Linked DNA regions of Daphnia pulex. The protein of the gene in region 2 purifies or fractionates together with the protein of the main gene of each other region. This does not show direct contact. Links are inferred from orthologs where the notes say so. Each region holds a gene or a part of one and is shown on either strand. Other genes may lie near its edges.

Region 1 (2,861 bases), on a different chromosome or scaffold from region 2:
CTTCAAGGGTCGACCTCCTACTGATCCTTGTTCAACTTGGCCCAGGCATTTTTCTCACCCAAGGAAGGAATTGTGAATACCGAGTGCGCAGACGCCAGTCTTACACAATAATTCAGAACCACTCTCTGGAAATTTTCGCACTGATAAATAACCCTCAATCTAATCTTGGACACAATTGGATTGAGGATTCGCTTGCCTTTGTGATCCTTCTCAAGAATTTTAGTCTGGCCTCCGGAGGATTCTATCTAATCAAGTGGAAAAAGATGAAAATAATTTATGATTCCGTCTTAACTTCGACAGGAATTGGTTACATCTTATCACGCTTGATGATCACGTTGGCAGGTGTCATAGCAACTAAACTTCCTTCAAAATCTTTTTCCTTGCACAAATTTGGGTTTTTTTAAAGAAAATATTCAACAGGCTAAAAAATCCAATTACGTACTATACTTACTTTTCCTCCCAACAAAGAAGCGCTGATTGATAAAAGATCTCCCAAGTTGGCCCCATCTTTTCTGACGTGAATCTCCTAATTGGCTAAACTTTCTTTTTGGGGAAACGAGGGGGTCGATAATTTCAATCGATTGCCGGAGCGGAAAGTTGTGTACATAAAAGACTGTTGATTGCTCTATTTAAGGTTCAATTAACAATGAAGACTGGACAGGAATGCATCAAGGAAAAAGAAAGAAAAACACCCAACAACAAACAAAAACTAATTGGGGAATATATTCTACGCGCCGATGGCAGTAGGACTTTTATTACTTGGTGTCTTCGGCGCTAAACATTCCCTAGAAAAACGAAAAGAAATGATTTGATCAGTGATTATTGAATTAAAAATAAAAACACACCTTGGCACGACGGAGAATGGAATCTTTTGACGCGTCGTAAGGATGATCTTTGGAAGGAATTTCGAGCACTGCTGGAATTGGTTCATTGTGGTTGTCAATCACGTGCCTGATCATCTCTGCTACCTGAATGATTAAGCGAGGAAGTGAGCAAACACGTAATCAATTCATTCCATTCAAACTCACATTCTGGTTGATGAGAATGATGTCAATGTCATCTCTCTTGAGGAAGCGCTTGAAGCAGTCCTCCACTTCGCTGATGCTCGTATCTGTATGAAGCATAACAAGGAGAAAATTTTACTTCATTCTCCCACCTCAAAATCTCAAGTTGTTTCGTACTCTTGTCTACGACCATAAAGTTGGGCTGCCTGTTTTTGTTCATCTCTCCAATGCCACCCAAAAGGAATCCAACACAAGTGTCCTGCAATTAATCATTGTTTTTTAAAATTTGGAAACCAAATGAAGTTCGATAAAATCATTTTTAATATATTTACCTCATCACCGATGACGGCTATAAGCCTTCCTTTCGCTGCAGCAATGGCCATTTTTGTGTATAGTAAATTGAAAGAGAACTAAAGTGAATTGAGCTAAGACTTCTCTTTCTAGTTTCTAGTCAAAAGGGAACTGTCACATGACTCGTGAAAAAAAAACACACCGACTTTCAATCGTGAATCGATTCATTTTATTAATCGATAGCAGCAGAAGAAGCCATCCAACGCCACCTCGTGTAGATTGGTGGCAACTACATTTACATTCGTTTCGGCAACTAGATATTCGAGGCAGAAAACTTGTTGGCTTGGGTTCGGCAACCAATATTAAATAACAAATATTTCGTAAACTGCTCATTTTAGATACTGAAACTAAATCAAAATTGAAACAGGATTTTTAAACTTCTATGATTTAATTGTGTAAAAAAAATTACGTGACAAACATAAGAATTGTCCAACGAGTCCCGTCCTCTAGCTCTAGTAGTCCGCGCACTGACGAGTGCATTCAGAAAAAATCATGGCTGCTTCCGGTAAGGAAAAATTTCTCCTCGTGGCATTTTCTTGATATTTACTGTTTTAAGCTCGATAAAGAGACCGGTGATGTCGAATAATTGTTTTCCATAATTTCGTCTACGTCGTGGAGTAATTTTTATTTTTGTGGTAACAATCGGATAAAGTGACGTTAGAAATCTTTCCGGTTAAATTCACATGTGGCACTTGTTCGCTTCTGATTTGTCGTGTATAGATTATTAAAAATGGTGCCTTGAATAATGATGTGAATTTTTAACTGTTGAATTTCAGCCAAAAAAGGGAAGAAATCCAAAGGAAAGGTCCTGTCATTGAATGAGTTCCTCTCTGACGACCATGGAGGTTCCAGGTCTGGAGAAGCTGTCGTCATGGCACCCTCCAAAACCAGTTGGGCTGATGAAATGGAAGATGGCAAGTCAAATATTTTGTTTTAATACGCTGACATATTGAGTATCAACAATGTAATTTTTTGTTTTATTTGTAGAGGCGATTTACAAGGAGAAGCTGTTGTTGCCCACAGCACCACGGGCAGCCAGGGGATCAGACATTGATGAATCTAGGATACCCAACAATGCACCTTACACAGCTTATATAGCCAATCTACCTTATGATATTGAAGTAGAGGATGTATCCAAGTTCTTCCATGGGCTTTCGGTAAGAAATTGCGCTTTCACAACAGCAACTTTTTCTCTACTGATATTTCATACTCTTTTTTTCTGGTTACCTAGGTTAAATCTGTCCGTCTGCCAAGAGAAGGTGGTGATGGTGGCAGACTGAGAGGCTTTGGTTATGCTGAATTTGAAACTAGGCAAGATTTAGTTGACGCCCTTACGATGAACGAATTGGTAATTTTGCAAATTTTTCTATTTGACCTTGTAGTGTTTCCATTTGTCCTTGTTTTGCAGATGATTAAGAACCGCAAAATCCGAGTGGACATTGCTAGCGGCGCAGATGGTGATCAAGAACAGGGCGCTGGCGGTATGGGGCGAGGTCGTGGCCGTCC
Region 2 (3,642 bases):
AGTATCTTCTTTGTCTACGCGGGCCCTTAGACATGGAAAAGTCATGAAAACTATCAAGTCAACTCGCAACTTGAGCGTAATAATGGTTAATTAAAAAAGAGCCAGTCTTCCGTGATTAAATATTCCGAATATTAAAACAACATTTTCCATTCTTACCAACTAGAGATTCCATGGGGGGGGGGGGGATAGCGTTTCGTTTCTCTGTATTTCTGTGACCGATAACAGTGATTAATGATACCCGAGGCCGATTGTTCATGTTTTTGTTATTTACCCAAGGTACTTGAGTTATTATCAATGTGGAGAAAGACCAGTCGTTTCTATCGATTGTCCATGGTAGATGCTCATGATAAAAGTCTGATACTACTGCGCAAAAGTAGGACATAGCCCAAGGGATTGCAGAAAGCATCCGACGAATACAAAACACGTTGTTTTTTTTAATAACACGCTACAGACCAAAATAAGCTCTCGATGGAAACTCGTTTAGAGATAGTAAGAATCCTTTCTCCAAAACGCCGTGGTGAAAGTGAGAGGAGAGCGATTCGGATGTCGCGTGCCCATAACACAATCAGTTACACAGCAGAGGAGAATGTTAATATTTCCTTACTTGGACGATGACTCGGATCATCGAAAAAGCACTCAACTCGACGGGAAAACAAAACTTCGTTTAAATGTGTAATCACACACAGAACGAACAGTTATGGCTACGACATGAACAAAGAAAAGCTAGAAAATGTACACCAAACAAAGTAACATTTTTTTACACGCTAAATTATTATCAGTGAGGCTCAAGCCAACAAATAAATCGGAATGTGACTTCTCTAATTTTCCTTTTTGATGCGCTGTGTCGTCATCCGATAGATGATGGAGTCACGACCAGGATCGAGTGTGCAAATAAACACTGAAAAATTAAAGGGATAATGTTATGGCAGATTGCAAAAATCGAACTCAGATTAATCAATTACCAGCGGTGGAAATAAGAGCAGCAATCAAGAAAACGGATGTCCATAAAAGGATATTAAAAATGGATGAGTAATCCGATCCATAGCGTTTAGATAAATTCAACTTCCAATACAGTTCCTGAAAGAAGGAGGATAAAGTTATTTTAACCCTCGACTATTATTTGAAAATAAAATTTTAAAAAATCATACGCTATTTGCTTTGGCATTCGAAGTCGTAGACCTCTTTTCTCGAAGGCGAAGTCTTTCAATGGTTATGGCAGTTAGGATAAACTATAAAAAGACAAAAATTGTTACACACAAATTTTTCGAATTCAAATATAACTGTGTCATACTCGATCGCCATAAGTGTTTTCTAGTGCATCTTGAAGCTCGCCGAGAGCAGATTTCAAAATAGTAACTGCTTCCAAAGCTTGCTCAGAGTCTTGACCATAGACACTGATGATATCATCCAAACCATTAAGGCGGATCCAAACAGTCTTGAAGACGGATTTTGCCAATACCTTTTGAAAATAATGTATTGTGTGTAAAAACCTCTCACTATTTTTTAACTAATGAAAATACCTTATGTTTTAAATCCATCAAAACATCAATATCTTTAAGAAACTGCAAGACAGCAACATCCTTTTTGTTGAGCTTTTGAAGTGCCAAAATCTTCTGGGTTTCACCAGAATATAAGTCATTTTCGTCAAATACAACTTGGCCTAGAATAGAAGTGAAATCATCCTTCACTTGATCAAGAGTAGAGGTGATCTCTAGTGGGTATCTGGGTTCACTCAACTGGAGACTTTGCACACCCTCAACAACAACAGCAACTGAAACTTCTGGGTAATTAAATGGATTCAAGACTGTAAGTCCATTCCACGAGTCACCCTGAAAACAGCAAATAATGGTATTGCTTCAAACTGATTTCATCATAGATACATCAAGTTGCAATATCACTCCTTCGTTTGGAACCAAACATATAGTTCCTAATCTACAAAGTTATAAATGAATGAAAGAACTTACAAAAGGTGTTGTGTGCCCCATTGCAGTGGAAATAATTTTTGGCAATTCACTTGTATTCAGCTGTTCATCTCCCCTAAAGTTGACTCCATTAGGGCTGTGCAAGATGCTGAACTCTCCATTTCCCAGGACTGCATTGCAACAAAACACTTCAAAAGCTGTAGTTTTCAATCGCTAGAAAATAATTACCTGAGGTTAATAGACAAAATACGCCGACAATTGATGCCACTTTCATCTTGCCTTCTTGTCTGGTCAACAGCAGCTGCAATTGCCTTTAGAAAAAGTTTGACAGTCTCGAGTCTCGTGACAGCTAAAGTCAGGTGATGTGTTCGTGGTTCATGATTTAGTCCCTAGATGACGTTTTCATTGCAGCCTACAATTTTTTTTTAAAACGTTGTGCTGCTGACAGCGTGATTCGAATCATATTTCATTTTCAAATTGTTGCTCTTCTTCTTTTCTGAATTCGTTAAATTTCTTAAAAAATGGTTGTATTATCTTCATTTCCTCCGCCTACCGAAGGAATCAAATTAGTTCAGCCTAATACTGGAGCTTTCATCAACACCAGAGACTTGGGCCAAGGAACATTATATATTGCAGAAAGGTTAATTTATATTTATATTCTATTTAAGTTTTCGATTACAAGAGTCACGGAAAAATAATTTTACCTATTCCAAACCATTTAGTCGTGTATCATGGGTTAGTGCCACATCTGGCCAGGGATTTTCGCTGGAATACCCCCACATATCGTTACATGCTGTTTCAAAAGATCCTTCTGCATTTCCACAGGAATGCTTGTACTTGATGTTGGATTCAAGGCTTGATGAACCCGGTAATACCCAATTCTATATTTATGTTTAAAATATCATTTGAGAAAATGTTATGTGAGATGTGTTCATGTTTCCAGGTTTGTCTGATTAAAGTTATATTTTTAAGATGAAGCTTTAGATAATCAAGATTCTGAGGATGAGGAATCTGAAACTGATATGTCTGAAGTAAGGTTTATTCCAGAAGATCGGGGACTTCTTGATGCCATGTACCATGCCATGACAATATGTCAAACACTCCATCCTGATCCTAATGATTCAATTTCAGATGGTAATATTTGACAAAAGGCAAAAGTTTTGCAGATTATTGTATTAACTTTTTTTTTTATTTAGAAGGAGATTTTGAAGATACTGAGGAAGGAGAATATTGCCTTGATGGAGCAGAAACAGCTGAAAATGGTAAATCTGATATAATTTCATTTAATTGATATCCGACAAATATTTATTGTTTTTCTCAATGTGCACCTCAATTGTTCGTAAGATCATGATAATGGTGAGGCGGAGAACATGGAGTCAGACATGGGTCAGTTTGAAGATGCCGATCCTGAACATTAACCGCACATATTTCCCTTATTCACGCTTTACTTACTATTGCTTTCTTTGAAATTTTAAATAATAAAACTTCAAAGCATAGGAGATAATTAATGTAAAACAATTTTTGGTGTCACCTCACTGTTCGATTGCCATGAACGCGAGTATTCTCGGTTAGTTAAAAAAAAAGAATGCGCCCGCTCCAATATTATGTGTAGATTTTAAGCGGGAAGCAAAAAAAAACTGTATGTGTGACAAAAAAAACAAGTTTAATAATCTTTAACTTAAAAATATCGCTGCCACAGTAAAGAAAGCATTGGTTTTCT
Region 3 (2,726 bases), on a different chromosome or scaffold from region 2:
ATCAACGAAAATGTAATAAAAAGTGGTAAAAACTAACCTCAACGGGCAGAACCTCGGCATAGAGACAAATAAACCATTTGGTGACAAGAATTGGCCAAGGAAGATGAAGATCCTTTAAAAGACGGTCAAGTTTAGAGGATTTTGAACGGACTAGTTCCCCTAATACGGCGATGTCAGTAATTAAGCCTTGCATATTTGATGAATAGTAGCTCGGCAAGATGTTGCGAATAAGGACTGTTAAGAGCCAGAAAGACTGTTCTTCATCCTTTGTTGCTATAAGCAAAAGACCAGCGACATAATTCAAACCCTGCAAAACATAACCAATACCAAGCCAAAACTTAAATTATGGAAAAACTTGTATGCGTCGATTGTGTAGTATATTAATAAAAAATAAATAAATACCTGGCAATATCCAACTGAGGTATTGTGTCTTGCACTTGCTCGTAATATGTTGTATAATGAGTTAAGTTTACCATCGGAAGATGGTACAAAATAGATGTTGTCTGGATATGTTCGGTTGAGGTCGTTTTGTATGATTTCATCCCAGTTTTGATGGCTAGTGTCACTTATCAAGTCTTGGTACAAATTTGGTTGACGAGACTTCAAGAAATTTGCTCCACTTGTCATCATCCAAACCTATAGAATTAAGTTTTATCAATCAAATTTTTATGTTTTTTTCAATTAAATCAATGTTTGTTGCAATAAACATTTGTGCATAAATATTGCAGCAAATGATACAGAAAGAAATATCAAAAGTAAAGAAGAAGAATTTCCCTTTATATTTATTCATACCTTTCCTCTAAACTGTGCTGGAACCCCTTTCCTTACAAATCTTTTCATTGTTCCACCATCAGGTAAGCTCTGCTGGCTTAAAATTGAATTCCATCGCATAGACCGCCTTGTTAAAATTACCATGTACCTTGACATGAAGGTCTCATAGGCTTTATAATCAAAATCATCTACAAATAAAAAAAAGTTACAAAAGGACGAAAAAATACTAATTATGATAAACTTTCAAACCTGGTCTCTCAAAGCCATATTCATCAACTTTGCTGAAAACATAATGAATGGAATTGTAATTTCATATAGTTCAAGAAAAGGAAAGCCATGCAAAAAGTATTGCTCCAATTGAGAAGGTCACACATATTTAAGGCAAATATAGGGCAGTTCAACACAAGGGACAAGACTTCACCTGAAAGAAGAAATCATGGTAAATGTTGAAGAAACCCCCTTCCAATCATATAGAAATCAACGGATGTTAAAAATAAGAAAGACAAAAAAATCCACTCGTGGAATTTAAAATTAAAATAAAACGTCCACAACCCAACACAGAAACAAAAAAAAAACACTTCCACTTTCGCTATAAATTTCTCGAGGCAGCCGATTTAGGTATGTTTACCAAATAGTCTCGCCACCTGTTATCAATAAATTAAAATGTTCCTGTTACACAAAATATGCCAGAAGTTTCGTCTGCTTCCACGAATCGATTAGAAATTGTGACACAACGCCAATGATTCACAGGAAGTATTAAGTGCTTATTCATCGCAGAACATTTTAGTCGTTAAAGTTGCCTAAGACTAAGACTTGCCTATCAAGATTCTTATTCGTAATTTGTTTTAGCCACGATGGAACACAAAGATACAAATGCCAGTGCCCAGCTAACTCAAGTGTGTGAATCTTTAGATGAACTTACTTTGAAACAAGTGGATTTAGTGGATGAACAATTGGTTTTGATGTCGAAACTAAGTAGCCTTTTGACTGGCGGTTTCATTGATATGGCAAAAAGTCGCTACATCAGTGGAGAGAGAACAGTTTCTACTACACAAATTCCAGGAGAAGACAGTATTATTGAAGCTGTAACGACAGTCGATCGTGACAACATGAACAAGCTAACAGTTTCAAGAAACAAAGAAGTGAATGACCCAATCAAATGGTTTGGTGTGTTGGTGCCCACCTCTTTGAAGCAAAGTCAGCATGCATTCCAAAAAGTTGTAGATGTTGCTGTAGAAATTGTCAACATTCGTAGAGAATGGCTGCAGTCATTTGACACTTTGGAGGAGGAGTACCAAAAACTTTCTAGTTTAAAGAATTCCACATGAATGACTACCCATTTATGATTGTAGAAACATGTCATACACCTATACCTAAATCTAAAATGTATGTCCATTGGCAGATTCCTTAGAATTTATTTTACTACTATTAATGCTATGTTAGGTTATACATTTTGTATCAAGAAACAAAATTTTCACCTCAGGCATACAACTTCTTAAACATAAGGCTTCCCATCATACCAATTTAAAAGATAAAGTAAATGTCCAAGATAGTTTTGATTATGTATGACACAGGGGATGTTTGTTAAGAGAATTATGAAAGATTCCTACAAGTTGAGATGGAAGGTTTTACTAAAAAAAAATTTCAGCATGCTTGGAATTTATCAATGGAACTACATTCTACATTGTCTAAAATTCTGGAATGATTCAGAAAAGTGCACTGAAGGCTAGAGCTGATTGTTATCCCAAAAGCTACCAATGCAAGGTAAATGATATTTTAAAATACAGGAAGACATGAGATGAGAAGACGAAATATTACTACGATGACTATAAAGAATGAGAACTTTTAGAATAGGTTGTTCCGCGCATAATGGTACATACGGAATCTGAAGATCAAACAAAACCAAACTCATTTAATGGAAGAGGAAACTAATACTGGGATGCCAGGTCTAAAGT

What was found.
Region 1: the proteins of renin receptor-like (region 2) and V-type proton ATPase subunit F-like purify together in Homo sapiens (affinity purification with mass spectrometry; 3 studies listed by BioGRID and IntAct, counting the BioPlex papers as one, with this or other methods). This does not show direct contact. The link is inferred for Daphnia pulex from reciprocal best matches to the Homo sapiens genes ATP6AP2 and ATP6V1F.
Region 3: the proteins of renin receptor-like (region 2) and coiled-coil domain-containing protein 115-like purify together in Homo sapiens (affinity purification with mass spectrometry; 3 studies listed by BioGRID and IntAct, counting the BioPlex papers as one, with this or other methods). This does not show direct contact. The link is inferred for Daphnia pulex from reciprocal best matches to the Homo sapiens genes ATP6AP2 and VMA22.

Annotation. Positions count from the first base shown.
Region 1 is NC_060026.1:16,025,078-16,027,938, forward strand, and holds V-type proton ATPase subunit F-like, read right to left. Parts: upstream 1,498-2,861; 5' UTR 1,388-1,497; coding exon 1,337-1,387; intron 1,264-1,336; coding exon 1,182-1,263; intron 1,112-1,181; coding exon 1,029-1,111; intron 969-1,028; coding exon 846-968; intron 786-845; coding exon 756-785; 3' UTR 612-755; downstream 1-611. Other genes in the region: eukaryotic translation initiation factor 4B-like, read left to right, coding at 1,848-1,860, 2,132-2,269, 2,343-2,512, 2,587-2,703, 2,764-2,861. UniProt on the Homo sapiens protein: Subunit of the V1 complex of vacuolar(H+)-ATPase (V-ATPase), a multisubunit enzyme composed of a peripheral complex (V1) that hydrolyzes ATP and a membrane integral complex (V0) that translocates protons.
Region 2 is NC_060018.1:1,924,267-1,927,908, forward strand, and holds renin receptor-like, read right to left. Parts: upstream 2,294-3,642; 5' UTR 2,197-2,293; coding exon 2,151-2,196; intron 2,093-2,150; coding exon 1,965-2,092; intron 1,830-1,964; coding exon 1,521-1,829; intron 1,460-1,520; coding exon 1,292-1,459; intron 1,230-1,291; coding exon 1,149-1,229; intron 1,078-1,148; coding exon 963-1,077; intron 899-962; coding exon 819-898; 3' UTR 660-818; downstream 1-659. Other genes in the region: methylosome subunit pICln-like, read left to right, coding at 2,444-2,562, 2,645-2,790, 2,895-3,056, 3,119-3,184, 3,267-3,340. UniProt on the Homo sapiens protein: Multifunctional protein which functions as a renin, prorenin cellular receptor and is involved in the assembly of the lysosomal proton-transporting V-type ATPase (V-ATPase) and the acidification of the endo-lysosomal system.
Region 3 is NC_060024.1:10,425,592-10,428,317, reverse strand, and holds coiled-coil domain-containing protein 115-like, read left to right. Parts: upstream 1-1,487; 5' UTR 1,488-1,625; coding exon 1,626-2,099; 3' UTR 2,100-2,177; downstream 2,178-2,726. Other genes in the region: growth hormone-regulated TBC protein 1-like, read right to left, coding at 38-307, 403-636, 793-959, 1,021-1,052, 1,193-1,209. UniProt on the Homo sapiens protein: Accessory component of the proton-transporting vacuolar (V)-ATPase protein pump involved in intracellular iron homeostasis.